Linked DNA regions of Schizosaccharomyces pombe. The gene in region 4 interacts genetically with the main gene of each other region. Each region holds a gene or a part of one and is shown on either strand. Other genes may lie near its edges. The genes, in order: SPOM_SPAPB24D3.02C, dbl8, SPOM_SPBP4H10.16C and rrg9.

Region 1 (7,431 bases), 530 kb from region 4:
AGTTGGACCTGATTTTAAGTTTGCTAAAAAATTCATCGGAACCTTTAGATAGGACTGAACGAAAGGATTTCCCTTCTTTAGCGATGCAGATTCGAGATGCAAATTCCCTTGTGAATACGAAGTTAAAAGAGTACAGCCGTCGATTTGAGTTGCCATCTCAAAAGACCTCTTTTGACGACTTATTCTCTAGCACATTTCCAAATTTCGATGCTGCTTTCAAAGATATTCCGGATAAAGAATGGGCTTTTGAAAACGTACAGTGGTACTTCCGATATATCAATTGTTGGTGGCCAGTATTTTATGAGAAAGACTTCATGGATGAATATGAGTGTTTGTACCGAGACAGGAATCAAGTTAAAGGGGCATGGCTTGTTTCCTTTTATTCGGTTTTGGCCCTAGCAGCTTCACGAAGTAAAGCTGGTAAGGATCAAAAACTTGCTGAATCATTTTTCTCCACCTCCTGGTATTTGATCCAGAAGCCGGGTTTTTTTCTTACACCTCAGCTTGAAAAAATCCAGGCTTTACTTATCATGATTCAATTTGCTGCCCACGTTTCTTTGCACACATTGTGCAAAGCTCTTTGTGGGCAAGCTTGTCTCATGATCAGAGACTTGAATTTGCATAGGGAGAGCGCCAACGCTGATTTTAGCAACAAAGATGCAGAATTACGAAGACGCGTCTTCTGGATTTGTTATATATTTGAGATTACAACTTCATTGGTGTTTGGAACTCCATCTGTTTTAAGTGATATGGACATTGATTGCGAGCATCCAAATTATGAATACGGCCGTTACTTTTCAGAAATGCCAACTGGCGATCTAATTTTCAGCTCAGAAGTTTCTTTGACTATCCTCAAGAACGAGGTCAGAACAAAAGTATACAGCCGCACAAATACTTCAAATGCAAGGAACAGAGAAAAGGCAATTTGGCAAATTCATGAGAAGCTACTTTGTTGGGAACGTGCACTACCTATTGAATTGAGGCAGTATTTTATTGCGTTGACTGAGAACGCACAAATTTACGAAGAGCTCGATTTTGAAAAGCAAAGGCTCTTCTCGGCTTGTATTGAAGTTTATTTATCTTACTGTAATACCTTAATTTTTTTGCATCGTCTAAATGAGAGCGTAGAAGGAGCAAATATTTGTCTCGACACAGCTCGCCGTGCTATCAATGTGCTTAAATTCTTTTTTATCATTCCTATTGCGAAGAATGTTTGCTATTTATGGGTATTCTTGTACTGTCCATTTACTCCCTTTCTTGTCCTTTTTTCTAATATTGTTAATGGCAAAGAACCGAGCACCGACATTGCTTTTGAAGATCTTAATCGGATGTATTCTGTTAACAGATTCTTTGTTAAATTAAGAGACATTGGTGGAGACCTTGCTGAAAAACTTGCATCTGTTACTGAAAATTTTATACATGCTGCCGAAAATTATTTCGCTGTACAGCCAGCATTTATGGCTGATGCTTTTGATTTTGCGAGCTTTTTGACGTGAGTTAGTCAAAAGCGCTTAAACATTTTTTTGGAATATGGGGTAAATATCTTCTTCATCTTTAAGTCCTAATTGTATATTATAGTTTAACTCGGTGTTGATTGCTATATAGTAGAAATTTTTAAAAAATATTATAACTGGGTTGAATTTTAAAAGGTGAAGCAATGTTCTTTTAAAAACTTAGCTGTTTTATAGCGGACTGCTTTTGAATTCAGCTACGCTTGTTTATAATATTACCATATGACAGAGATATATATATATATATAGTTTAATCGAGGAAAATTGGTACCTAAGTCTTTCACATATTTATTCATCGATTAATCAATATCATAATAATTATTACACAAAACTAATATACAATATGCTAATTATAAGACTTGCCATCATCTTCTTTGGACACATGATCTGCCTGAAAATCCACAGTAACACCTTCAGTAACATTCTCATCAACTGTTTTAACAGGACCTTTGAAAAAAGTTTTACCTCCGTATTTTGGTAGATAATAATATCCTACGCAGAAAAAGACTGTGAACCCCAGCACTACAATGGCCCAATTCATTTCCACTTTATTCGGATTTTGGTAACTAGGGAAAAGAAGCATAAGCGCCATGAACCATAACCAAGCCACGGCTACAATTGAAATAGGCTTGCTAAATTTCCCGCAATAAAACTTTCCAGGGTTCAGCCGATTAAACAACAAACGGCATACTAAAGGTAAAGAATATGAAATAAAAAATGCGATGATAGCTAAATTAAAGATAGAGCTGATGGCTGTCACGTTAACCAACATGAGCAAGCCAACAATAATGGTATAGAGATTGACAAGAAGAATCGCATTGAGTGGAATGCCGCCAGGAGTTAGCTTACGGAATATCCAACTACCAGGAAGACCCTTGTCTCTAGCGAAAGCAAAAATTTCTCTAGAAGAAGCCAGGCATAACGCAGAGCAATTAAAACAAAGAGCTATTATCAAAACAGCTGACACGCCAACTGCACCCCTTTTGCCAAGATTATTATAAAGCACCTGAGAAACTGGTTCTCCGTAGGGAGTGTTTAGAATAGAACTAAAGTCGTGACCCATTGTGCCTGCTATAGTGATCATAATGCAAAATCCCATAAAAAGAGATACCGTAAGACTTGAAATAATTGCAATGGGTGCTGCTTTGCTAGCATTTTTGGCCTCTTCAACAATAGTAGCACACGATTCAAAGCCTGACAAAACCCAAACGGGGGTTGTGAAGCAAAGGATGAAGGACCAACCCATGTTAGTCCATCCAGAATAATTTTCGAAATTTCCAAAAATATAGCTCCCAGTGTTTCTAGTCTCGGAAGTTGATGATGCTGCTAAACTGATAATAAATATAAGAATCGTGCATATTTGAAACACCACATTAAAACTGCTGAAACGAGCAAGGAACTTTGTTGGAAGAACAATCAAAGCTGAACAGGCAAAACTTAAAGCGACATAGATACCGTACTCTTCATATTTAGTCGGAGCATACGAGGGATTGGCAACAGACGCTGTTGCTTGAACAAGACCCGCAGCAGCATAGATAGTAGAGGCAAATCCTGTAGAATATGCGAGTGCAAGTACATATCCCAGGAACCAACTTAAGAAGGCACGGTACTTTGGAGGAGAGAGATAAGCCGTCCAAAAATATAAACTGCCAGAAGTGGGCATTGATGATGCCAACTCGCTCAAAGCAAAAGCAATTGGAAGTAAACAAGTAGCACCCACAAACCAAGACCAAACCATACCTCCGGCGCCACAATTCATACTAAAGGCCATGGAGCCCACGAGAGAAGGACACAGGCCCATGGATCCAAAGGACTGACCAAACACGGCGAGTAGGGAAAATTCTCGTTTAAACTCTTGCTTATAACCAAGGTTCAATAGCATCTTATCGTCTTCTGTAACGGGGGCAGACTCACCAACCTCTATGTCCCCAACAGAGATATCGTGAAATTCTTTCTTCATCCCAATTGTTTCATCCATCTTTCCTAGACACAACTAACGATATATAAAACCAAACAATACAAAGTGCAGAACACGAAAGATTCCCCAGTTGAATACACACGAGGCAATAACTCCAATTGAATACCAATATTAAAAACAAAAATTGGTCACAGCAAAAGGTAGTGAGAAGGCAGTAAGCAGATAAATGGGATAGCGATATTGAGTCAAAATAGCAAAAAGCCAAATGATTAAACTCTTGATTAAGTATACGATTTCCTAAAAAATTTCCTGAGACAATTGAACGTAGAAGCCCGTTTTTATATTGCTAATTAAGATGATGATCATCTTTCTAATGTACTGCTTAATCTATTGATTAAGTAAGTTCTATTTAAATTCTGGATAGGATAAGAGATTTCAATAAGCTATTACCCTTTTCATTTATCTTGTCGAGGTTCATCTCTATGAAATAAGAAACAATAAGGCTTTAGATTTCCGCCAAACCTATCGATAGCTTATTTTCCTAACCACCCCCCTATGCTTGCAGTAAAATTTATCGGCCATTTTTCTCCATGGACTCCGTTATACAGTACTTCTGCAATACAGGCGCCGATATTCGCCATAAAATGAGTTATACGATTAGTAGATTTTTGATATGATGGGCTTGTATTAGCCCTAAATTTGAAAGTATATAAAGGCCAGTTTCACTGTCTTAGAACCGTAGCTACAAGAAATTATGAAAAGTGTTGAATGGTTTACATGGGGAGTTTTTCTGCTACTTTCTGGCTTTGGAGAAGCTGGGAGGATGGGCTTGGGCTTTCAGGAGAAGAATCCAGTTTTCGTAAAGGAAAAACAATCACCATTCTATGCTGTACCTAGTAACTATGAGGAAGTAGAATTCTCAAGTATAGTCGAACCTATGTATTCAGGGATTGCGACGTTTGGTCGTTTGGAGAATGTTGAATGTTTGAGTAAAAGGTCAGAGGACTTTGATATTGCCTTTATAGGAATGCCTTTCGATACAGGCACTTCTTACCGCCCTGGTGCTCGATTTGGTCCAAGCAGTTTGCGTGAAGGATCTCGACGCATAAATACTAAATACGGTGCAGTGAATGTACCTCTTGAAATCAATCCTTTCAAATCATGGGCAAAGCTTGTGGATTGTGGAGATATTCCAGTCACCACGTATGATATTCTTAAAGCTATGGATCAGTTAGAAAGTGCATATTTCCAGCTAATAGCTCGAAAGCCCTCCAGTTTTACTGACCATGATGGATTTGCAAAAAATGATACTGTGCTTCCTCGAGTCCTTTCACTCGGTGGTGACCATACCATTGTCCTTCCCATCTTACGAGCTTTGCATCGTGTTTACGGACAACCTATTTCAGTTATTCATTTCGATAGCCACTTAGACACGTGGGCTCCTGGATTGATTGGCGATGGCGATGAAGCAGATGGAATAAACCATGGTTCTTATTTCTACTTTGCTAGTCAAGAAGGTATTATGAGCAAAGATGCCAACATTCATGCTGGCATTCGTACTCCTATCTCTAGTTTCTCTGACTACGATGATGATGTTGATTGTGGTTTCAAAATCATTGAGGCTCGTGAAATTGATGATTTGGGGATTGATGGTATCGTCAAAAAGATTCGTGACAGAGTTGGTGATAATTTGGTATATTTATCCATTGATATTGATGTGCTTGATCCTGCATTTGCACCCGCTACGGGTACTCCTGAAACTGGCGGTTGGTCATCTAGAGAAATGAGAGCAATTTTACGTGGTTTGCAAGGTCTGAAATTCGTAGGCGCTGACCTTGTCGAAGTAGCTCCCGCTTACGATGTTGCAGAAATAACATCCTTGGCTGGTGCGCAATTGTTATTTGACATTGTATCTATGATGGTGAAATATCCTTTGGTAAAAGAGGCTGATTTATCTCGTTACATGCCAATACATAAATAATTGAAATAACTGGTTTATTTAATATTCAATATTTATATCGACATCATAGATACAGATACAGAAATGAGCATGTTCAAAAAAAATCATTATTCATTATATTATTAACATATCATACGCAAGTATATCGTTAGAGACAGCTGAGCGTCATCTATCTTGTATCACATAAAGTAAAAGACAAATGTAGCAGAAACGGGTTTTCTTAACCACCCAAGAGTGTTTTGTAAATATTTGCAAATGAACCCATTAAAACATCTCATCTCCCTTTTGTTATTTTTGCCATCATTCACCAAAAAATCACTTCTTTTATATAAGCGTAATGTGACGAAAATGCTTCGTCTGAGTGGACGTAGACATTCTATTCAGAAATGATTGAAAAGATACTATAAATTGGTAAACCAAAAATAAAAAGAAGCGTACATAAAATGTAAAAGACCAACCAGGAATAAACTTATCGAATTCAACTTTTTACTTTTAAATATATAATACATCTGTCCTTCAGTGTTTCTTCGGCCTAACAGGCTTTGTATAATCGGCAAGTTTTGACGTTTTCCAGAGATACCATGCTGCTGCAGTACGAAAAGGTGCACATATTTCACTATGCTTAAGAACATACATCTTGGTTGGAATTTTTGGTAATCGGTGTAGATATCGGTATCCATTACGAATACTCAAATCGTCAGCTGGCATAACATCATCACGATTCAACGAAAAGATGAGTAACATTTCTACTGTCCATCTTCCGATTCCTTTAATCTGAGTAAGTCGTTCTATCAATTCTTCATTTGAGAGCCTTTCAGCTTCTTCTTTAGTAGGAATCAAACCGCTGATTGTTGCCTCAGCAATGCTTTTTAATGAATCAATTTTACGAGCTGAAAATCCACAGGCACGCATTATTTCAAAATCCATATCACGAATTTCCTCTGGTGTTGGAAATTGGCCATTGTTAGAAATACTTTTAAAGCGATTGAAAATTGCGTTAGCAGCTTTACTATGCAATTGTTGAGATGCTACCGCACGAATTAATTCTTCATAAGGCTCTTTTTTCTCCATACTTCGATTGGGTCGATAATTACCAACGAGCTTCACGAGCCGTTTCCAATTCTCATCCAATCCAGAAAGATGGATTTCTGCTTTTGTGAGTGAAGTGACTATCTCTTCTTTCTCTTCAATGTCCAAAGTCATAATAGCAAAGATTCAATTGATCAAAAATTTATCACTCATTATGTGCTTTTGACTAAACGGTAAGGGTTTTCATTCCTTAGGAATTGCACTGCAATTCGTTATTTATGTAAGCAAGTCCTAAGCTAAAAAAAAGGAATCTTGAAGCAAATTCAACATTCTTAGATGTAATTTGAAACTTCAATTAAATTTTCATCTGGATCGCGAAAATAAATAGAGAGGATAACTCCTTCAGCTCCAGCCCTTGTAATAGGACCTTCTTCTATGAGAACATTTTGCTTTTTTAAGTGAGCAATGACTTGCTCTAAGGGTGTTTTAGCTATTAGGCAAATATCATTTGACCCAGGAGTCAGTATGTGTGATTTTGGGTCAATCTCATTACCCTTTTGATGCAAGTTGATTTTTTATGACCGAAACCGAGTGCCTTGCGATTGTTTCCAAATGCGATAACCGACATTCCTAATGTGCGCTCATAGAACTCACAGGTGGCTTCTACGTCTTGGACAGTGAAAACAATATGGTGGAAACGATCAATTTATATAATATCTTTTTCCATTAGTTAGTATCAAAGATCTTTTATAGATGTAAAATGTTGTAAAGGAGAGTCAGAGGAAACTAACCACTTCCGTTAAACAAGTAACAACTCTTCGACCTTAGAGTATATGACAGATTAAAGAAATATTGGGCGTTCAATAAGGCATAAAATGGATAAAACGATGGAATAGCTATAAAGAAAGCATAGTGTTTTAAGAATTATTCATCCACCTTACTAAGCTTACTTTCTCTAATTAGCATTGACGTTGAACATAAAGAAGCTTTGCAGTTGTCTTCATAATACAATT
Region 2 (10,973 bases), on a different chromosome or scaffold from region 4:
ACGTTGGTATGTAACTGAATTTTTATCACTAAAATAGAAAATAAAAGTTCTTAATTGGAAATCTGCTACTATTTATTTCCTTAAATGCCTTGATGCAGGCTAAGGGTATATTGAATGGTATAGACACTGCATAATACACCATAAATCCTTTTTATGACATGATGGCATTCTTAACAGTGATAACTCATTAAAAAGAGAAACAAAGTCAACCGATGTAAATTGATCATACTCTTCAATTACAATATTATATCATGACAATTGTTATGGACTTCGATGTGTATTTCATGAAGTTTGAAAAAGTAAAATATATCATCAAATTAAATGCTTATTCTTGCCAAATTATTCAACAATATCGTACAGTGAACAATTGCTTTCAAGTATTGATTAGTTTATTGTAATCTATATAAGTATTAAACTTCATCTTCGATACAAATAACGTACAAACTAACATTCCGATCATCTTAATTGTTAAAGGAATTAATGAATCTATAATTCTAAATTATTTTTTTTAGCACTTAAATTTACTCATCCTATTATTTACATTTACAGTATACGGTTTCTTAACGAGTATACGCTATTATTATGCCGAAACATGAATGCATATCAATTTTGGTTCTACCAGCACTGTTCCTCTATTTTGAAGGGTTTATAAGTTAAAGTCAAGTAAGCATTACCTCTGATTATTATTTCATTTTATATCAAGTTCTTAATCAACGTTCTTATTTTTTTAATTCGTGTCTCTATATTTTGACAATTACTTGAAAACTTGTCATACGACAAAGGTAAAGAAGGAATTGCTAGCATTTATAGCTTTAAAACGATGTATATTTTCTATTAGGGATATATTGTTATATTTTTGACTCTCAACGAATACTTCGTACTCGGTTCCTTCGATTGCTGTTTATCCTATCTGATATAAATTTGAAAATTTGAATTAGACCCTATGCTAACATATTCTTAGTTACATGTATATATAGAATTTTTTTTCGTTTAATTTTATTTTTGAAAATTAAACTTTTTGATCACCTTTCGTAAAAGTTCCTTTCGATGAGCTTTCTGAATTCTTGGAGAGCTGTTAAATATACAAATAAGCCTAAGGAAGAAGACATCAAACTCCCAAATTCTGCATCAAATCTTCCAACTACTGTACAAGCATGTGTGATACAGTTTATCTCTTCTCTAGTTAGTCCGGTTCACCCTCAATTGCTTTCGCCTGAAGAACTAGCAAAAGCATTTCAAAACTTTTACAAGCATACCGATGAGTTTATTGCTTCAACCCTTATCCCTCAACCCTCTTCAAAAGATCAAAATGTGCCTCTTTTGTTTCCTGAGGAAATAGATGCTCAGAAAAAGGCGAGACAACACTTGCTGAACCAAAAAGATGAATGGATGGACCAAATTGAAGATATAGTTTGCGAATATTTGTATGATCGGTATGTGATTACTTCGCCTACAATAACTGTTTACTAATATTGTGTTAGGATTTTCTGTTTATCTACAAGTACGGATGCTGCCAAAGATGACTTGTTAAAAAAATTTATTGCTTCTGAAGAAAAGAAAGAACTTATCAATTGCATTCCAATACCTGATGATGAAAAACTTACAAACCGGTTACATGAAGTCTCTGAAGCATTTTTTGCTCTCGATGAGCAACACACACCTAGATCGAAAATAAACACTTTTATGACCGTTAATTCAAGTATATTGAATGCCTCTCAACTTCCTCAAGAAGAATTGAATGCTGATTCTTTATTAAATTTGACCATATATTGCATTCTCTGTTATCCCGGATTTCATTTAATATCGCACCTGAATTTTGTGTTACGCTTTCGAAATGCAGATTTTTTAAGCGGAGAGCAAAGATACTGTCTCACAACTTTTGAGGCAGCCCTTACTTTTATTCTTCGAGCTTGTCCAAATCTTTTAACTCAATCGTCAATTCAACCCTCTGATGATCCTCTTTCACTTGAGGTAGCTAATAGCGAAACAGTTTCGACCTCTAACTCGCTTCATGATCCGAGTGCAGAACCCTACCCTGTGAATCGCTCATCTTTATCTAATTTAAGAAATCTGGGACTAGCACTTGAGAAATCTTATGCCTCTCTACTTAGTAAAGTAGCCAATCACACTGCCAAAAGTTCAGAAGATTCTTCCAATTCTGTAGAATTCGTGGGCGACCCACCTTTGGAACGCTTTTTGACTGTTTCTGATGCTAGCGATCTTAAAATCGGTGAAATTGAACTTCTTCTTTCTGACTATAAGCGCCTCGCACGTTTGCTTTTTGAGAAAAATGGTAATCAGTAATTTTGACTGAATATTTTCTTTAAAAATTTCACATCCAGTTGGTTTTCGGCTTTGTTTATGGTTATTTGATTCATTTGAGAGACAAAGTCATATAGAAAAGTTATATGATTGATCAATATTTTTTTTTTCTTTGTTGCAGGTCAATTCGTGAACAGCTTAAAAGTTTAAAAGAAAATTTTTATTCAAAACAAGGATTGATTATTCCTTGACGTCTATTTTATTAATGTATGAATATCACAAAGAACTAGCAAAAATGATTTAAGCTTGTATGTTGACGCAAAGATTGCATGCGAATTAAATCCTTACAAAGGAAATATATGAAACGAATATATCATGTTACTGCAAAATTTTTAAATATACTGAATAAAATGAACTGTGATTCTTTGCTCAGTGAAGAAAATAGTCATATTTGAAACTAGGAATTAAACACACAATCACAAACTTCGGATTATAATGGGTAAGAAAGTTTTTTAAGTTGTCACATTATATATAGTAATGTTTAAAATATATTTCGGATAATCATATATATCTTAATTACAATAAAGAAGCGTGATTTTGGTACATGAATTTATATACACTTTCAAAATATACGTTCATTTTTTTATTTAAAATTTCTCTTAAGGCTATTTTATTTCAATGCGATAATCGAGTGCTGTGTGGACATCAAATGATTGGTTGCACTAAATGTTTATAGTGAATAGTGTAATTTACTTCCTTAGAAACCTAGATTTTGAAAAATTGCAGTCGCGCTTTAATAAGTCTACTTCGAGAGTGAGAATGCAGCATTAGCTTGTGGTTATGGAAAATGACGAGGCTTTTGATAGATTAATAAGAAAAATTCAGGAAAATCAAAAACACCCATCTTTCGAAGGGTCCAATAAAGTTTTGCATTTGGCGCTTTCATACCTAAATACTAACAGACAAAACCCTCATTGGGTTTGTGATCCTAAATTACAAGTAGCAGTTCGTGAATGTCTTTTTCTATTTTCTTTTCAAAATGATAACGAGTATCTGGTATGGTTCAAAAAACATTTGAACGAACGCCTTCAGTTATGCCCCAAATGTATAGTTAAATATCACCAATCTTTAGATGATTTCAAAAGTCTATGTTTAAACATTTTTCACTTTGACCCAAATACTCTTGAGATTGTAATGGAGAAAATTTATAGTTGGGACATTTTTCGGTTACAGGAAGTTCTCAAAACAGTGCCTAAAATCGACACGTCCTCGGCCTCTAAACCTATACTATGCGCCTTCTACGAAATCTTATACTCTCCTCGTATTTTACATAATAAAGAAATCTTTCCCTTGTTCCGAAACAGATTTCTTGAGTCCGGTTTTCTTCGGCTCTCGAAAAACCTAGTGCCAGGTGTCATAAGTCTTCTCTTCTCGAGAGATGATGAGCTCCGAAGATGGGCTTGCAGTATTTTAAGTGATGTAAAAACAATCTCCGATAATGAATTTAAAATCCTTGAGGGTCCCCTTCTTCAGGAAATTCGTTCTTTAGACCAGAAGAAAGAAAATGAGAACGAGATGCAAATTTTTCTGAAAGGTTTATCGTTGCTGTTAAAGCATGTTGATCATCTTTATTTTAGGGGACTTACAGGAAAAAATTTCAATGTCGCCGATTTTATTCTTTCGGGATTGCAAAGCGACCATACTAATTTATGTCCGTCTTTCCTTGTATGTTTACATTCTTTGTTATACTGCTATGGACGTAATTTTTGGACGCCAGAAATTTCTCCCAGTGAAGTAATAGATAAAATTTTTAATGGTAATGCTTATAAGAGGTGGACAGAAGAAAATACATCCAATTTTTCAAACGACCAAAAGGCAGAGAATCCGTTTGAATGGGCTACCTCTCTTTTGAAGACAATTTCAATCATTGATGAAGTTGAATTAATTAACAAAATTTTGATTAATTACACCATGCAATATAAAAAGGAACTGGAAGTCGGTTTCAAAAATGTTCAGTTACTTCAATCACTTGCTGACATATTTTCAGTTTTGTTTTCCGAATATTTTATGATTTTCCCCCATAGTGATCAAAGTTTACAAAACAAAGTATTTGAATTACATTCCACTTTAGCGATTAAGTTTGACGAGCTGTTTCGTTTGCTAAACTTGGAAAATGAAGAGTCTGTTGAATGGAGGCTTATTAAGAAAGTTTTTGAATACCGATTGAATTTAGATCTTTATATTTTGAAGCAATTCTATTGCCATTATTTGGACAGAAATAGAAAGCCACCCTTGAATATCAAATCGGTAAGTGAGTCTTTTAAAAATTTTTGGGTATATTTGCAAAACGTATTTCGAGAGGAGAAGTTCTTTATGGTTCGTATTGTTTTTCGTGCTTGCTCTACAGTTTGCTTGATTGATAAGTTGCCGCCTAAGAAAGTTGACATTCCGTTCAAAAGTGATTTCGAAAATGCACTAAACGGATTTGTTGCAACATTTTCTGAAATGCTTATTCAGACTCAATGTTGGCATTTGTCGGCACAAACCCAATTGGTTTCAAATCCTTTAACTTTTCGTGGAATCTTTTCACTCGTTTTTTCTCCAATTCTTGAGATCTCAACAGGAAGTATCTCAATTATTAAATCTATTTCGCTTTCTGACAGCGTTGTTGATACTATAGGAGAGCTATTGAGAAGCCAGTTTTCAAATACACTAAATTCTTCATGTTATGTTCTTCTGCAGTGGCTTAAAGTCAGAAACTTTGGAGGAGCCAAGCACATTGTTTATTTTAATAAATTAATTATAAACACTATTTTTGACTCTGTTGATGGCTTAACTTCTAAGGATGCGACTTTTGCAAAACAAGTGGAAAAGAAAGAATCCCTTAAGAATTTCTGGGAATCGTTATGGAAATTCTTTACTCATTTTTTCATTGTTCTTCCTACTTGGCCAGTTCATGATAAGGACAATTTAGTTGATTTAATGCGGGATACCCTTGATTTTTGCGATATGCTCATTAATATTTTTGAGGAAGTTAACGGATTCATTTTTGGATTATCGGATAACGATATTAAAATTGTTTCGGCTAATGATAAGGGCAGTGCTTTAGCTATGTGTATAGCTGATTCTTTGGTTACTGTATCTTATTGGCTTAAGTTAACTGATTCTTCACTTCTAACATCCGTTGTGAAAGTGATTTGTAAAATGCTTAAAATTTGTAAAAAGTTGGAGTGTCCAATTAGTCAAAATGTGATTGATATTATCCATAGGGCATCAATTACCAGTGATGAACAAACAATTCTTACATTCACTGAGAGAGAGGATCTTTTTATATCGCTCACACCATACCTTTCAGAAGACGTTCTTAATCACTCTCCTTTCAATGATACCAATACGCTTGAAACTAAGTTACAGAGTGATGATCGGGGTTTGCTTTCTAAAGACCAGACTATTGGGATTGCGAAAAAATTACCTGAGTCAAACATTAGTACTTCAAATCATTTTTTGCTTCCTCCGAAGGCTATTTCTGCTTCTAAAGCCATCAATAGAAATGCTCAAAAATCTCAAAATTTAAATTTTTTGAAATCTAAACAAGAGACAACACAGCGAATTCGCGAATCCGCGAAAGTTCCAAGAACCAGTGCGGGGAACCATCTTTCTGAGAAACTTAATTCGGATAATCATATACCAAAAGCTTTGCAAAAGCTCGATTCTGCTGACCCAATTCGCAAGCCTTCACTTTTGCACACTTCTAAAAGTTATTCTAATCCAGATGACAAAAATACTTCAACTTCCGATGAAGATACCTCGGAGTCCGAAGAAGAGTCTAGTAACGGTCTATTCTCGCTTGCACGTGAAGCTAATTCTCATGCCTCTAAATCTCTTCCACAAAGAAGGCAGATTCAGTTCTTGGACTTTGATTCCCTTAAAACAAAAAATGTAGTTCATCCTACTCAATTGCGCCGTAATACTCAACAAAGTGCACAACTTGCTCGACTCCGGCTAAACCCTGATGTTCAAGAGTTTTACAAAGTAATTTTGGGTTGGAACCCATTAGCTGATTCTTTTTCGGCGTCTAATGTTGAGATGCAGTGCGTCCAAGCTAAATTCACGTATAATGATTCAAACGCTTATGAGAAAGTTTTCAAACCAATGTTGTTTCATGAATGTTGGGCTCAAGTGAAAAGTGCCGTTGAAGAAAAGCAATACCCTCCCATAGATTTAATCCTCAACACCCGCAGTACAGTTGATAACTTTGTCGATATTTACTTTACGTCCTGTTCACCTACCGAAGTCTCTTTTTTAAGTGATACAGATATTTGCTTACTGTCAAAATCACAAAGTTCGGGCGATACTAATAACCCAAAATCTTTTCAGTTGTGCAAAATTCAATCCATTTCTCGTAAAAAAGAATCACTTGAACTCTGTCTGCGGATGAATATTGAATCAATTGATCTACAGGAGTATGCACCGAACATTAGGTTCACAGCACAAAAATTATTTAATGCTACTACTAGCTTACGTGAATTTGCTGCTTTAAAATCTCTTCGCCATTTACCATTGTCTCAGAGAATTCTGGATGCCAATGTAACGCGTCTACCTTCAAATTTTACAGATGACAAAAAGCAAAAAATAATGAAGTCTTATGGTGTAAATGAACCCCAGGCATATGCGATTTATGCATCTTCTGTAAATGATGGTTTTACGCTCATTCAAGGGCCTCCTGGAACTGGAAAAACTAAAACCATTCTAGGCATGATTGGAGCTGTACTTACTTCTTCTAGTCAAGGGTTGCAATTTAATGTCCCAGGACAGACGCGAAAAACCTCAAAGAATAAGATTTTAATATGCGCTCCTAGTAATGCAGCCATAGATGAAATTCTCCTTCGTATCAAAGCCGGTGTTTACGATCATGAGGGTATCAAATTTTTTCCAAAAGTTATTCGTGTTGGATTTGGTGACTCCATAAGCGTTCACGCTAAAGAATTTACTTTGGAAGAGCAAATGATAAAGCAAATGGAACTTACGAACCTAAAGAAAGATCAAGAAGCAAACAATTCCAGTGATACTCGGAAAAAATATGACTCAATTATTAAAAAAAGGGACTCTTTACGCGAAGATCTAGAAAAGTTTCGTAGTACTGGAAAAAATAGTTCAATATTGGAAGCACAGCTTCGTGAGATTACCAAACAGAAAAACATGCTTGAACAGAGCCTTGATGATATGAGAGAACGTCAACGCTCAACTAATCGTAATCTGGATGTTTTGAAAAAACAAATACAAAATCAACTACTTCAGGAAGCTGATATTGTATGTGCTACCTTATCTGCGAGTGGTCATGAACTACTTTTAAATGCGGGTTTGACTTTTCGAACTGTCATAATTGATGAAGCTGCACAAGCCGTTGAATTAAGTTCAATCATACCTCTTAAGTATGGCTGTGAGAGCTGTGTAATGGTTGGTGATCCGAATCAGCTTCCTCCTACTGTGCTATCAAAAACCTCTGCAAAGTTTGGATATTCACAATCTCTATATGTCAGAATGTTCAAACAGCATAATGAGAGCGCTTGTCTTCTTAGCATACAGTATAGAATGAATCCTGAAATTAGCCGATTTCCCAGCAAGTTTTTCTATAATTCAAAACTACTTGACGGTCCCAATATGTCAGCAGTGACATCTCGACCTTGGCACGAGGATCCGCAGCTAGGTATTTATCGATTTTTTAATGTTCACGGGACGGAAGCTTTTTCCAACTCAAAGTCTCTGTACAATGTGGAAGAGGCTTCGTTTATTTTATTATTATATGAGAGGCTAATTCAATGTTATCTAAACATTGATTTTGAGGGGAAAATTGGAGTTGTTACCCCTTATAGAAGTCAAGTACAACAGCTTCGATCACAATTTCAAAGAAAGTATGGTTCCATTATATTCAAGCATCTTGATATTCATACCGTCGATGGGTTTCAGGGACAGGAAAAGGACATTATAATTTTTTCTTGCGTTAGGAGTTCGATGAGCGGTGGAATCGGTTTCCTTCAAGATCTTCGTCGGCTTAATGTAGCTTTAACAAGAGCTAAATCATCTTTGTATATCGTAGGCAATTCTAAACCGCTAATGCAAGAGGATATTTTTTATAGCTTGATTGAAGACGCAAAAACTCGTGGTGTTTGGAGAGACTTGAGTGCTAATCAATTTAAGAACTCAAAAAGTATATCAAACGTTTCGACACACCTCGCATCTAACAATTTAAATTTAGCCTCACGGGATACCCCAATTAAGTCGCCGTCGGTTGGTATCTGTGAGGAAAAACAAGAAGCACATAAAGTCAAAAAACGGCACAATATAGATAGTGCTAATTTGTCAAGAGGAACTGAGAGAGATGAAGATATACCGAATAAGCGCGCTAAGAACAAAGTTTCCACTGATCAGACTGCTGCTGATAATAAGGTCACGAAACCACGCCTTGATGAATCATCCAGTTCCAAGCAAGATGTGTTAAACAAAATAGACGAATCTGAAATTGAACAAGCGTCTTCCAAAAAGCCGGGTTATGTGGAAAAAAATAAAGATAAAGGCCATATGAAAAAATCAAAAAAGCCCAAATCGAAACTTGCTCTGGCGGCGATGGCCCACGGTTTTGCACCTCCAAAAGTTGAGCATTTCAAAAGGAAGTAGCCGATTTAGGTTTTAGTATGAGTATTTTACAGTATTACTTTTTTAATAACACGAGTAGCGGGACGTTTTCAATCATTTGAATCTTAGACATAGTTTATTTATTAATATTTCTCCTATCTAAAAATGATTTTGCTTACAACAACACTATATTAATTTTTACTCAATGGTATATATAAACAGGACAAATGCACCAGTATATTCTATATGTTTGTGTTAGGATTATATCAAACTTGTATTAGCTCATACTCACAATTTCATTATTAATTAGCTTCCAAAATATGCTATAAATTAGCATATTATCAGTGCATGTTCAATTGAGTTCTACAAAATACATTGAATCTATAGATGGAGATACATGGCAAAAACTTTTTAGAGACATTAAAAGAATTGGAGAAACACGTAGATTCAGCACACTATGTTTCCATTGATTGTGAATTTTCCGGATTATTAAGAGACTTCAACCTTAACAACAAAAATACTTTACAAGACAGATATGAGTTACTGAGAAAAAGTAGTATACGATACACAATTTTACAAATTGGTATAACCTTTATTTATTTGCAAAACAATGGAAAATCTTCGTGTATTCCCGTAAATATTAACGTAAGTCCTCTAGTTAAAGATGAATTGCACCTTAAGAGAGACTTCTGCTCGGAGGCTAGCAGTATTAAGTTTCTGATACAACAAGGTTTTGATTTTAATAAACAACTGACAGAGGGTGTACCATACTTATCACGGATTGAAGAAAGAAATTTGATCGACAAGGTTAATGAAAGATCAACTGACGACTTGACCAGCTCAATTTTAGATGCTTGCGATGAAGAAATTCTTGTTGACGCAAGAAATCAAATTAAGAATTGGTTATCGAGCGAGTTGTCACATTCCACTTCAAAATACTTGAACATTACTACCTCTAATCGTTTTATAAGAAAAGCAATACAATCCCTGGTTAAAATTGAATTTCCAACTTTAAAGAGTTACCCCAAAAGAACATTTCTGCAGGTTCGGAAGGCTATTGAAAATTCGACAACTCAATGCTCTGCCACTTCAAAAAGCGAACTCAAAGAAGATATTGCGAGCGACCAATTAATACTTAACAATCTAAATTTGATCAAACAGAATGTTGGGTTGCGACATTTATGGGACTATATACTTAAGAAAAAAAAGTCAGTAGTTTGTCACAATGGCATGGCAGATTTGGTGTATTTGTTTTCCCTTTTTGAAGGAAAAGTCCCGGAAACGATATTAGAGTTTTCTGAGCTTTGTTTATCATCTTTCAAATCTATATATGACACTAAACTTCTCTACTTGAAATCCGATGATCTTCAACATGTATCAGATGGGATACCAACGGACTTACTTTCCTTAGTTTCAAAGATATCTCTACCGCCAGTACCTTCTAACTCCTCATCTCAAAGGTCAAATGTTTCTTTAAATTCGCTGATTGAATGTCCATATAAGTCAATGATGAGCAGAAAACGCCCACATGAAGCAGGAAAAGATTCATACGACACTGCTCTACTATTTGTTTACTACGTTATGAGAACAAAACACTCGGATATACAGCGATGGCAAAATGTTCTTCCAATTCACGGTAGTTTTCTTGACCTAAATAAATATTGCAGTTGATTGAATTGAAGCGAATAATCTTCTAAAATATTCAAAGGTTATATAAACCCTATGGAGATTACAATAGTACAGGTGGCTGATTACAAACTCATGGATTATATGCAAGAATGGTATGTGACTAATAAAATTGTCAAAGGATGTTATTGGAAAAATGTTAGATAAGTTTCAATGAGGCTCAATTTTGAGGTTTAAAATTATTTGAGAAATGAAAAAATTGAATAAGGATTAATGAGGAAATTATGCCTTAAGCTCACCAACACCACCCCAGCTACAAGAATCGGCACCATGATCCTGAGTGTAAGCGTTAAGAGCAATGCTAAGTTGTTGGACACCAGTGCAACCAGTGTAGTTACCATAGGTACCCTCATAAGGATCGCTGCTAATAGAAGAACAGGCCTTGTTATCGT
Region 3 (6,839 bases), on a different chromosome or scaffold from region 4:
AACAATATATACTTCGGATTTTCTTTATCGGATGCTATGAAATTTGAGAACGAAACTTTTATCGCAAAAAAAATACTTGAAAACAGCCCTTGTCCCAATCAACCTAGTATCCAACCATTTGGGATATTAATGATGCTTGTTAGCACGATTTACGGAAATTTCAAAAACTTGTACAACTGTATCAAAAGAAATACCATTGGTTATATTTACAACTCTATTTATGACTTCTGGATCACTGAAGGTATGCTTTTCCCAATGAGGAATATGGATATTTTTAAGATCACAGCTATATCTATTGGGCTTAGTATTCCGGTTTTTCTATGGTTGTTAAAATAATTCCCATATGGAGCATTTTGTTCTACTTTCTCATATATATTTTGCAGATGTGATCCCTATGATTTTGTATGGCTATTCATTTGAATACTTTCAATGAATGTTTTCTCCTGAAAAGCCATAATGTTCGTTAATGTAATATTATTATTAGACAAGTTTATTTTATTTAATTTATCATTGTATTTTTTTTTCAAGTTAATTTTTCAATTAATGGTAATTATCTTGCTAATTTAATTACTTATTTCACAAAAAAATATATGAATACATTTATTTTCTTGTAAATCCAATGTTGATTTACTGGAATCTACTTTGTGTTTATAAATAAGTCGAGTAATTGATTGTACGTTAGTATTCAGCTACAGCTGTTCATTTTTCGATTATTGGAACTATATTCACTACCACCATTAACTAACATGGTGGCCTCATTAATTAAACGAGCAAAAGCTACATCTTTACGAAGTTTATTTCAAAAAAATGAGATGAATTTCCAAAGCATTAGATTTAATATCCATCAATTTTCTACCCAACCAGCTTTACGATCCGAAGGCTCTGAATTGATTTTTGGTGGACGATCTTTCGATTCATTGCTTTCTTCCATTAAAGAAACAATGGAAGAGAAAAAGAAAAAGAGTTCTTCTTTTGAGAAAAGGGATAAACGGCGTGTTCAGCTAAAAGAAAAATCCCCACTTCGCACTCCGCGTAACAGAACACAAATAATCGATGCCAGATCAACGAGGAAGGATACCGAGAACGAGAGTCTGAGGAAAAATAATTTTAAACGAAGAACACAGTTTGCATTTACTGGAAGAGCCACTAAGTCCAATGCTGGTGTTATGGATGTGCAATCACCATCTACAATGTCCACATCAAAGAATAATGTAAGAAATGCTGAACGTCCAGCATCAAAAAAGCCCGTATTTGGCAGCAAGAAATATTTTGACGTTATTAATGACAGCAACGTTGAAAACAAGGAAGAGACTAAGGATAGGAACTTAGATCGTGCTTTATCTAAGTTTACCCAATCCAGAGAGAAAAATGAGCAGAATCTTTCAAGTAAAGCGTCAGTTTTAAGAAACAAAAAGTCAATCTTGTTAAAGAAAAGAAATCAAGATGAAACTCAACTGACTACTGAGGAGGATTTTTCTGCCAATAATGATTCTACCGCAAAAATAGAGACCAGTATCCACGACCACAGAGATATTTCTAGAATAACACCTTTTGAACTTCCTTTTGTTAATCCAAAGCTGTTTGCTAGCTTTACTCCAATGTCGGTAGCTCTACCAGCTGGACGATTACTACTAATTAAACAGTTGCAAGAGAAATCTACCCAATCATCTTCTATGACAGGTCTCAAATAAAACCAGCTTATTGCCAAAAGTAGATAATACATTCATCTACTCATATTTTTGTCTCATACTAGCATAAAAAGTATAAATTAATTATGATTTTCAATCTTACTTTTACCATTGTATTTTAGTCACATTTGTCTGTAAGGAAAAATAGCGTTGGTGTAAAGCGAGGTAACATATTTAAATGTTACGTCGTTAATTTTTTTACGTAGGCGATGGAAGGCGTGTAAATCATTTGAGCATTGAGGAATCCGCAGTAAGTACAGGAAACTTCCACTGCATATTATTTACTCAACTTAGCTACCTGGGGAATACACATTGTTTGTTTTAAAATTTATCGATTTCAGAATTACATTGAATTAATTTTTTTTTTTTTCAATCAGGTCCGTTTCTGCTTCTGGGATTGTATATTCTATCTTCATAAAACCAACGAGGAATTCGTGTGAACTATTTATAGTGCTGCGTGTAAGCTAAAAAAGATATTATAATACTTTATAATGGCATTTCGTAAAGAAGAACTCAGTCAAACACTCTATGAGAATGAATCTGAGCAATCATCCGAAACCAAGGAACTAATGTTAAATAATGAAGAGAGTTTAAGCGATTGGCGAAATTACTTTGATGAAAAGTTAACAATTCCTGGTGAAAGTGGGGCTTTGAATGGGACTATCAATGGGTACTTAACACTTCCACAACCAGATGGTTGCTTACTTGTTTTGCAACACGGTGCTGGCTCAAGTGCCATGTCATTTGCACCGGTTACACAAGAGCTCTTGAGTAATTCAGATAATAAGGTTGGTTTTTTAGCGTTGGACCTTCGAGCTCATGGAGAAACAACGTTAGAACCCGAATCAGATATGAGCTTGGAAACATTATCTAAGGACTTTACTCACGCAGTCTCCTATGTTCAACGTATGTTTGAGCTTGATGAAAAAATCATTTTGGTCGGACATAGCTTAGGAGGTGCCATTTGTGCTTACTGTGCTTTTCAAAAAACTATTCCCAATACTTCTGGACTTGTTGTCATTGATGTGGTTGAAGGGACTGCGATGGAAGCATTGGGTTTTATGAAAACGTACCTCTCTAATCGTCCTACTAGCTTTAAATCAATTGATGATGCAATTTCTTGGCATATCAAGACTTTAGTTACTAGAAACAGATTATCGGCCTGTATTACAGTTCCTTCACTTCTCGTTCAGCAGGAAGATGGCACATTCGTTTGGCGAACCGATCTTTACAAAACATCGCCGTATTGGATGGACTGGTTTAAGGGTTTAAGTGACAAATTCCTAAGAGCACCATATGGAAGGATGCTTATTGTCGCTGGTACCGATCGTCTAGATAAAACGTTAACAATTGGACAAATGCAAGGAAAATATCAACTTGAGATTCTTCCTGAAACTGGTCATTTTGTTCATGAAGATGTTCCCGCTAAGATTTCCTCTCTACTTTTAAATTTTTGGCATCGCAATCAACCTTTGGTTTTACCTCCCAAAGTTGGTGCTACTCCTGTTCTACAGTAATCTTAATGATTTAACGAACTTTATTATACACTAAGAAAAATGCGTTATATAGTGGAGTATGTATGGTCATATAACGTTGTGCTGTGCAGGTTGCGTAGGCATCGATATCAAAGGCACCGCTTTCATAGTACCTATAAGTACGTTGCATTCGCATATATGATTGTATCTTTATTTATCATTACCCTTGATTAAAAAATAATTTATTTTATTGAAACTTCTCTTTTAAACACTCGAATTTTTGTGCCTTCATGTCTGTGATAACTCAGGCTCAGGAAATACCTACTGTAGCAGCCAATCCCGATTTCAATTATGAAGGAGATCCTATTATTATTCAATTATGCGATCGTGACACAGTATTTGAATTGAGTAGAGATCAGCTTTTAGGCCTCCCGGAATCCATCTTGATGTGTTTATTTCCTAGAGGCCTGTTGTTGGATTATGAGATTCAAGAATGCCAACTGACTCAAAGGCCATTAATATTTCAAACAGCTGACTTTGATCCTTCATTACTTCAGTACATATTAAATTATTTTCAAATGGCCGAAAATCGTACCGCTAATGATGAAATTGCATTATCACCACCTCCACCTTCTTTTCCTGGAAAATGTGGTATAATTCTGTTAAAAGAAGACATTGAGTTTTTTATCCTCCCACCCATTTCACCAACCACCAATATTGCCATTGAAGTTAGTCCGAACGATTTGCTTAAACTAAAACAACGTGTAGCCCAACGATTGCTGCAACAAAAGAAGATCTTTGATTGTTTACATCTCGAAAACTCCACCTCAGAAGGTTCCGCTGAAAAGAACCTTGTACGCATGCTTTGCTACAGCGGATTTCACGAAGATGACGAATGGAAACGGCGAATACAAGAACCACATCGCGCTTGTATTACTTCAGTCACTTTGACCAACCTAGATTTTAGTGCAGATCAGGGCCCTGTCTCTGATCCTGAATATTTTCCTGTTTATCACAAGTTGCTCCTCTTTTGGCAGAAACCAGCTCGGAAGTGTTGGTGGGATTCTTCTACCAGTATCACCTACAATGGGATCGAGTTTGCAACTTGGGTAAGAAGAGTTTGGACGTTGGAACTTGCTGTATTAGGCGCTAATACGTACGAGACTGCAGCGGTTTAAGTACAGGGTATGTTTCAAAGTTTAAAAGCATTTTTTCTCTTTTGTGTTTTTGTTGTTTTTGTTGTTTTTGTTATTCCTCTTTATTTTTAAATGAGCAAGAATTATTTTTGCGCAGCAATTACCTACTTAATCCTTGATTTGTAATTGCTTAAATTAGATTTGTACTCCTCCTACGAGTTTTATTATTTCTTGATCCTCTCTGAAATTTTTTTTATTATTTTATTGAACAACGTTCAGTATTACTTGTCACTATTTCCCTTAATACACAAAATTATTATATTAATTTACAAAATGTTTTAGTTGTCAGCAGCATACATGGGTGAAGTAGAAGACTAGATAAAAAGAAGAAAGGGAATTAGTTCAGTTTGAGTTCCGTAACCCTGGATGATTAGTAACATGATAGAATTGCTGCACACTTACCTTAAAATAGTATACGTTTGTTTATGTTTCATTACACGATCATGACGATGACGACGCTTGTGTTTTACTCGAACACTTAATGCGCTTTTAGGGAATGATAATACAACCGCTTCAATCGTAAACAATGAAGGGTCTACATACGGGTTACCAAAGAGAGTAAAATCTCTTGAGCCGAAGGAAGCGATTTTATCAAGTCGTATCGTATCACCAACCTGGACACCTTTCAAGTGAAAAGGCAATCCTAGTTGATCTCCTTTGGCTATAACAAAATGACGATTAAATATATACGCATCAGCATAGTGGTCAGGTTGTTGTTTTATTGAATCTATAACCTTTTGATTTACCACGCCAGAATGGGCCTTTTCGCGAATCAAATTAAGAGCTGAACCGGCCTTGAAAAATTCTATCTGGTCTTTACTCATTGTGTGTTTGCAAGGAATCTCTACAACTGAACCGTCTTTCTTAGTGACGACAAGGGTAATAGGCTGGTCCAAAACACCTTCTAAAAGTTGTTCAATACCACGAGTGGAAACCTTATCCTCTGCATCTATCTTTTCATAGTCGGCTTCATTGACGAAGGTTAAAGGCAAAACGCCTTGCTTCTTCAAATTAGTCTCATGAATACGGGCAAATGATTTGGTCAAAATAATACGACCATTCATGGCACGGGGTTGCAAAGCTGCATGCTCACGAGCAGAACCCTCACCATAGTTATGTTCAGCTACTACCAACCAAGGTTGTCCATCCTTCTTCCACTTCCACATCAGCTCAGGAATTGTCATGCCTTTGCCATTGTCATAGGCACGATTGACTTCTCCAGTAGCAGCATTCATTGCACCAATAAGTGTGTTGTTACAAATGTTGCTAAGATGGCCTTTGTATTTTAACCATTTACCAGCGGCAGAAATATGATCGGTAGTACACTTCCCCTTGACCTTCACTGCAACCTTAAGGTTTTCCATTTCTCCTCCTTGGTAAGGCTCAAAGGGTTCAAGGGCCTCCAAACGATCAGATTTGGGATCGATTGTAACTTCGGTTTCCGGAACAGGCTGAGGATTAGGCTCAGGAATGTAGGAAGAGTCACCAGCGATGAATCCAGCCGAAGGAAGCTCGACGCCCTGAGGGGGTCTAAACTTGAAGGCTTTACCATCGGGTGTTTGCAATGTATCATGCGTGGGATCAAATGCAAGATCAGAGGAAAAAATCTTGGCAGCCACAATTACGGGACTGGTCAAGAAGTTCATAGTCGATGGATTTCCGTCATTACGAGAGCGGAAATTACGATTGAAACTTGTAAGAATAGCATTTGGCTCGCCTGAAGCAATGTCATCGGTACGCTTCCACATACCAATGCATGGACCACATGCGTTTGCCAGCACAGTAGCGCCAGCTTCTTCCAAGCGTTCAGTAATGCCATCACGTTCAATGGTTGCGCGAATTTGCTCACTACCCGGTGTAACCAAAAATGGAACCTTTGGTTTAAGTCCAGCAGATATAGCTTGTTCAACAACATCGACAACACAAGTCATATCTTGGTAAGAAGAATTGGTACATGAACCGATAAGGCCAGCCGACAACTTTTTAGGCCATTTGTTTTTCTCAATGGCTTCACCAAATTTTGAAACAGGAGTGCTCAAATCAGGAGTGAAGGGACCATTGAGGGAAGGGGTAAGTTCCGAAAGGTTGATGTCAATTATTTGATCATATTTAGCCCCAGTATCAGCAGCAAGGTAGTTGTATTCACTATGAACCTCCGACGCAGCATCGGCGACCTCTGCACGGTGTGTGGCAATTAGATAGCGACGCATAGAATCGGTATAAGGAAAGATTGAGGTGGTTGCACCGACTTCAGCGCCCATATTACAAACAGTAGCCATACCAGTGCAAGAGAGGGACGCAACACCAGGGCCAAAGTATTCAATAATATGACCGGTACCACCACGAACGGTAAGCTTACCAGCCAAATGAAGTATAAGGTCTTTTGGAGTAGTCCAGCCAGACATAGCGCCCGTAAGGTTGACACCGATGATTTTGGGAGCTTTTAACTCCCATGGTGTATTGGTCATAGCATCGACGGC
Region 4 (6,518 bases):
GCTCCCAACTGTGTTTCAAAAAATGTAGAAAGAGACAAAAAGGCGAATTGACGAGAAACAACGAATCAAAATACTGTTAATGCTAAAAAATAAAGTAATATGCTATGGGTAAATTAAATCTGTGTTGACAAACCCGCAAATACATAATATGGTGTGGTCCCTCACGTCTCGCCAATGCTGAAGTAAATAAATACAACAAGCGAAACATAAGTTAAAGTTGTGTACGAAATCATTTGAACCCTAAATAAATTTGTGTTCTATACATGCAAACTTTAGACAGTTTGAAATCCGAAAAATCACTTTTGTAAAAAATGAATATATGAATAAATATATATATTAACATATATTGATATATGTATAATCTTAATACAGTTTACAAACTACTGTCTTCTTAATTAAGAAAACATGGTTCTCATGAAAACTTATATTGTTATTTAAGGTCTTGCTGCTATATATGCATTAGCAAAATGCACATTTCCAAAAAATGAAGTTAAAATTATCAGTTTACAAAAGACATTGAACTAAAGATCAAATTTTTCCACAACCGAATTAAAATGTAAGATTGTGTTTTTTAGAAGAAGCCAATGCGCTAATAATAATGCCATGCTTGCATTGCTTAAAAACAAACGAACTTCTTGCCTTCATGTAGCAAGGCTATTATCACGAATTTTCATGTTAATTTCGCTATGAATGCTTGGTCTTTTCTGAGTTAATCAATACTATTTAGCTAAGGTTTCGCTCATATAGAATACGAAAATTTCGCATTTATTAATGCAAATTTCCTCGATGTTTTTAATATATTGTGTTGCTAATCTGACTATATAACACTGCCTCTTCAAGGGACAAATAGTTTTAACAAAATTTGTTTACATTATTGAGTCAAGCAATTACGACCCGATGTTATAAGCATTACGCAGATTTCTTTTACAAAAGGGAGGTCTCTTTCATTTACCCCAAGCTTAGCATTACAAAATCATGTGCAAATGAGAAGACTACTTTTAGGGAAAATAAAAATCTAAACTTGATTGGAAAGCGAAAGTTTAAATCCTAAATTGTTTGAGGTTGACGTGTTAGTTTTTCACCGTAATAAGTAAATAGCATTGTATAATGAATAAAAGAAAAATTTTGATAGTTTAACAATTGCTGCTATTCATATTTTAATAGAATCTCAAAATTCATACTAATCGACTTTCTTATCCTTCTATATTCTTCAATATTTCAAACTCGTTTTAAGTCTCTCCTATAGCTTGGGATTATTCAATGAAATTGTAATTGTCGTCCTTTCCTTTACATTGTGAATACTAAAAAATTGCTTCTTCCAGAATTGTTTTATTGACTCACGGATTTGCAACATGTCCTTCTCCTCTTTTTTTTTTTTTTTTCTTTTTTTTTCTAATCTGTAAAAAAACCAAAATTTTACAATCTCGATAATCCTTTTAATGTCTATAGTCATCAAACACGTTTATCTACTTACTCAATACGATAATGTACAATAATTCCATACGAAACTTGCCCTTATCTGTTTTAGTTTTTTGTGGCACACCGTTAACTAATCGTGAATAAAATGGTTATTACAGTCATAGTCCGGTTTAATCGGATCAATCAAATATAATTAGATACCTACTTATTATCATATACATACAAAATTAAAAACAATACAAAAAAGAGGAAAACAAAGAGGCTCAACTTCTTACCGACTATCCTTTATCTCTCTTTTTTTTTTATTTTTTTTTATTTTTTCTCTTTTGGCACAGTGCTACAGAACATTTGTTCAACAACCCAACTCTGTACGTTTCACACATTGTCAGCAAATTGTTGACAATCAGCACAAGCCTCATTCTATAAAGCTAAGGAAGATTTCGTACCACTGCTGGTCTTCCAATTGCCCCTGCTTCCTTTCCTTTTACTGTAAGGCTTACCGGAAGGCCGTTTACTAATAACATTGCGAACCCGAGTGCGGTTGGGTAGTATTACCTATACCGCAAGTTCCTCCGCTCTTTTTATGACGTCAGGGGGAAATGCTTTGGTTTGCCACCTTGCGTCGTCTAACGCGGTGCAATATAAGGATGCGAAAGGACTGCAAGGATTTTCACCTGTCATGAACCAACAAGGATTTTGACGATTAGTACAGTGTTAAAACTTTTGAAATAGTATCGAAAATTCATTTACTATATGTATAAGTATTAAGGAGTTACGCATCTCTTTACAATTTTAAACACTCACGTACCTTTGGTTGAATCAAGCCAGGCAGGTCTCCGTTTGCGAACGACGGTTTCGGTTGATTCGAAACGTGGTATTAGAAAATCATTTTATTTATTTTCATTCCCATTCCATTTATCTATTCTATCTAATTTCGTCCCATTGTAGCTTGTTGTTTTATCACAAGCAGCTTTTAGGTCTTTGGGCTGTTACTTTTTTCTTCACTTCATTCCATTACTAATATATATATATTTTAATCAAAACGTACGCAATTCAACTCTGCGAAACTCTATCTTGCAAGCTTTCTTTCTCCATCTGCTTGTAATAAAGAAAATACTTAACTCCGATACTTCGATTGCAAAGGTCGGAGCACTCATTTTTATAAAAACCACAAAGCTTTCTCCTTCTTGGGCTTTGGTTTTTTATTCTGTAGTTTTACCGCCTTTCAAATATTTTGATTTCAATCTTTTGTAAAGGTTTCATCCTCTTTCATTTTCATTGAAAAAAAGTCCTTCCGATATGAAATTTGGACACGATTTTAAAAGGGCTCTCGAAAACGATATGCCCCCTGGTTGGGGCGAGGCTGCCATTCAGTACAAGGCCTTAAAAAAATGTATTAAAAGGTTCGTTTTTGAGCTGTCTTCCTTGGGTCTAAGTGCTGAGACCATCAGTAAATTGATGGCTCCGACTACCGTGGATCCCCAACAAGCTATTACGCTTAGTTACTCCCTTGGCAAAGAGGGACACATTGTTGTCCCCAAAATTATTATCAACGTAAATTTTGATAAATTGAAAACTGATAAGTTCGCTGCTTCAATGTTCAAGCAGTTGAATGCATCAAATATGATTACAACCGTCAGGAGTAATTATGCCTCAAATGTTCCTTCTACTCCTTCGGATTCTACTCAGCAGCCCCCTACCAATACGTTACCAAGTGTGTCCGCATCATCTCAGAGCGTAGAGACTTGTGAAACGGTTGATGAAGATATCGATACTCAAACTATGAGTTCTGACATGTCCGAAGTTCAAAGTATGGAAATATCGTTGAACTGTGACCACGAGTTTTTTGAAAAATTAACTTCGGAGTTGCAAAGTGTTGAAGGACTACAGCGTGAACAGCGTAAAATTCTTTTTAACGCAATTGATATCCTGAGTCATGAAATATCTCTTATAGCTTCCCCTAATTCCAAAAAGAAATACAAATCTCTTTATTGCTGGAGAAAAATTTTCGAAATTTATATGGATTCCGATATATTTATTTCTTGCAAGGAAGCTGATCAGAGTCATGAACGCACTCCCGAGCTCGCTGAGCGCCATTTGAAATGGTTTGACGATCAGGTCAGGCTAGCAAAATGTCTTCCCTCTTCCTCAAAGCATCGTGATCGTATTTTGTATGCTAAGTTTCTTGAACTTAATGAAAGTTTGTTGAAAGTTGCTTCTTTTCAGCAAATGAATAAGTTAGCCGTTACGAAGATCATGAAAAAGTTTGATAAGCGGACATCCTTAACCGCTCAACCTCTATTTTTTCAAGTTATCGAATCAGACCCTCTTCTTTTGGTCGACAATGCTTCTAAAGCTATATGCTTTTCACTCTCTTCTAAGCTATTCTCGATTATTCCTCAACTGAGGGATTTTGAATGCGCTATATGCTCTAACGTTGCTTACAAGCCGGTGAGATTAGGTTGTTCCCATGTTTTTTGTTTGCATTGCCTTATCATTCTTCAGAAACAGAAAGTTGATTTCTGTCCGTTGTGTCGTGCCAAAGAAGTTATGAAAGCCGATTCTCGCAATATTGATCACGCCTTGATGAATTTTATGAAAACATATTTCCCAAGAGAGATTAAGGAAAAGTTTGAAGAAAATGAGAACGATACGTTTACTCCTTCTTCAATTTCTGTTGTATCAGGTCAGAACAATTGTGTGATAATGTAGATAGACGACGGATTTGTTTCCGCTAAATTCCCAACCCTCTCTTAAAGGCTCAGGACTATTTTTTACTCACTATATTTGATTATCTGTTTTTTTATGTTTTCCTTGCCTAATTTGCATACTAACTTTCTATTTTTCTTTCCTCACCTAACTTTTATTGCTGTAAATAGCATTTTCGTGTGTTTCTTTGTTATAAACGTTTGCTTATAATTCTCGGTTTTTTCTTATATTTAGCTTTTTTAAATGCTTGTACATAATACTTGCTCATCACATACCATTAATCTTTACTAAACCGAACATATTTTTTAAAAATCAACATAGACAATAGACATTTATAGAATTTTAGCTTACAAAAGCTGTGTAATGTTTTAGGAAATCGTATTCGTAACTTAAATTTACCAAATTTGAACTCATTATTCATATTATTCGGAAGTTCTTGTAGTCAACCTCTGATGTATTTGTAAACTTAACGTAACTTTCAGCAACTAAACATTGATAGTCCGAAAAACAATGCTTTTATCTCAATTCCTAAGTTACCCACTTACAGTGTTTAATATGTCTCTCTTCACAGATTTTAATGAATAATTGTGCTATGGGTAGTAGTTTTTGTGTTTGGAACACTAGCAAAAGCTGTTTTTTGCTTTCTAAAACCGACTTTACCGGAGCATCAAGAAGTCCTTTGCCACGATTTCACTGAAAACTCCGAATGAACAAGATTTAAGATATTTGACAACGTTTAAATCCGAGTATTTCGCGGAGTAATTTAAGGCTGTTTACAACTATTACTAACTCAACCTAATATCGGAGTAGTTTTGAGCGTTGTACTTTTTTGTTATAAGTGGAAGTAATTATACTTCACCAGCTACTAAATATTCTAAGTGGTAATGGAATATATAGTGTCATTACTTAAAGGTCACATAGACTGAAAAAAGGAAACGTTTGGATTTTTTTGATGAATATATTCAACTATACTACTCTGATTTTTCGCCGTTTAAGCTCTACCTTCAAAGCTTCAAACAAAGCCTCTATAGAGTGGAAAAAGCAGAACATAGCGGTCAAACGAAAAATTGGAGGCTATTGGAATCCAAAAAAGAAACTTCCTTTAGAATCTATGGACGAAATTCGGCGTCTAAAGAAAGAAAAATCATCTATGTCATGTTCAGAATTGGCAAAACTATATGGAGTTTCACCTGAAAGTATTCGCCGAATTTTGAAATCCTCTAATAGACCATTAGACGATCGGGAGAAATCTCGTAAAGAAAAACGTTGGTTGAATAGTCTTAAAAGTAATCGTGATTTTGCATAGATTTATATACTTTTTTGAGTTGCCTTGAAATAATTCGATCTGTAATGTTGGAATCAATTGTTTATGAACTAAAAGTGAAGCTTCTCCTACCTACAGTAGTAAGGGTTTTGAATTATTCAGAAGAAAAGTATGAGCAATACTAGAAGACTTTTAAATTGCTACGAAATCACCATTCAATAAGTTACAAATTTCGACTATAACTTGATGAATGTTCATTTTAAAGTAATACAAAAACTATTATTACTTGTATTAAAAAAGCTCCATACACTACTTACAGAATCGGAACAGTGCTTTTTAAAATTCTTTTGCAATGAGAAAGCGTTGAACTTCTGCTTTTAGAGTACCAGGGTTGGTAATACAGTAGAGCTAATAAGTTGCTTTACAAGAGGCGCACAGCATCTAGCGATTAGAATTTTAACACCACTTGCTTACAAATTTAAAGCATGCAAATCAACGGTCGACAAAGTGCTTTCGACAACTAGTAAACAAACCAATTATGAAGCGTTTGATAGGTGCTCTCTATCAGTGTGATATATTTACAAAAAAAATAGAAATTGTAATAAAATACGAAAACTCGTTAACGTACAATCCACAATGTTTCGATAAGTGCATCCATTTACTATTCGTATAACCGTCTTAATGTGGCACATGGTTTCTCCACCAACGACATAAATCTTAAGCCAGTTTTAATCTTTATCTTAGCAGTTTACTGTAGAAGTGAAATCTTTTTTTGAAATAACTGTGAAACTTAGCAGCTTCTGAAAAAGTTGGTAACGATTTGTGTACTTTCAATTAAAAAATAATTTTTAAAATGCACCTTTGTTTTTACTAGACTTTAAAAGACTACCTAAGTATCATATTTAATATAATGGCACGGAGAAGATCCACGAGACGCGCATTAGTCGAAACGCCGTCAGATTTAAACGCTCAAGACTCTGACAGTTTAAGCGTTTCTACGAAAGAGGAATTAGGTGATGATGCTCTTGCCGCAGAAGAAGGTCAAAGTGTTTTAGATGAACAAGAGATAGAGGAAGCACTAGAAGAAGATGATACAAATTATGAAGAAGACATCATCGACGATGAG

Evidence for each region.
Region 1: mutations in rrg9 (region 4) and SPOM_SPAPB24D3.02C together harm fitness more than expected from each alone (negative genetic interaction), as found in Schizosaccharomyces pombe (one large-scale study listed by BioGRID).
Region 2: mutations in rrg9 (region 4) and dbl8 together harm fitness more than expected from each alone (negative genetic interaction), as found in Schizosaccharomyces pombe (one large-scale study listed by BioGRID).
Region 3: mutations in rrg9 (region 4) and SPOM_SPBP4H10.16C together harm fitness less than expected from each alone (positive genetic interaction), as found in Schizosaccharomyces pombe (one large-scale study listed by BioGRID).

What each region holds. Positions count from the first base shown.
Region 1 is NC_003424.3:2,948,233-2,955,663, forward strand, and holds SPOM_SPAPB24D3.02C (amino-acid permease), read right to left. Parts: upstream 3,973-7,431; 5' UTR 3,490-3,972; coding exon 1,858-3,489; 3' UTR 1,776-1,857; downstream 1-1,775. Other genes in the region: toe3 (transcription factor), read left to right, coding at 1-1,496; SPOM_SPAPB24D3.03 (agmatinase), read left to right, coding at 4,184-5,410; DNA-3-methyladenine glycosylase Mag1, read right to left, coding at 5,906-6,592.
Region 2 is NC_003423.3:2,555,257-2,566,229, reverse strand, and holds dbl8 (ATP-dependent RNA helicase Dbl8), read left to right. Parts: upstream 1-3,060; 5' UTR 3,061-3,102; coding exon 3,103-8,937; 3' UTR 8,938-9,080; downstream 9,081-10,973. Other genes in the region: guanyl-nucleotide exchange factor Muk1, read left to right, coding at 1,048-1,433, 1,482-2,304; tri1 (CAF1 family ribonuclease), read left to right, coding at 9,283-10,566; 1,3-beta-glucanosyltransferase Gas2, read right to left, coding at 10,804-10,973.
Region 3 is NC_003423.3:2,903,739-2,910,577, reverse strand, and holds SPOM_SPBP4H10.16C (phosphatase activator), read left to right. Parts: upstream 1-3,338; 5' UTR 3,339-3,453; coding exon 3,454-4,341; 3' UTR 4,342-4,616; downstream 4,617-6,839. Other genes in the region: SPOM_SPBP4H10.19C (calreticulin/calnexin-like protein), read left to right, coding at 1-336; SPOM_SPBP4H10.18C (uncharacterized protein), read left to right, coding at 747-1,691; SPOM_SPBP4H10.17C (carboxyl methyl esterase), read left to right, coding at 2,180-3,205; aco2 (aconitase/ribosomal domain-containing protein), read right to left, coding at 4,697-4,721, 4,762-6,839.
Region 4 is NC_003424.3:2,419,404-2,425,921, reverse strand, and holds rrg9 (protein Rrg9), read left to right. Parts: upstream 1-4,985; 5' UTR 4,986-5,080; coding exon 5,081-5,434; 3' UTR 5,435-6,018; downstream 6,019-6,518. Other genes in the region: pqr1 (ubiquitin-protein ligase E3), read left to right, coding at 2,719-4,131; Ino80 complex subunit Ies2, read left to right, coding at 6,303-6,518. UniProt on the Schizosaccharomyces pombe protein: Required for respiratory activity and maintenance and expression of the mitochondrial genome.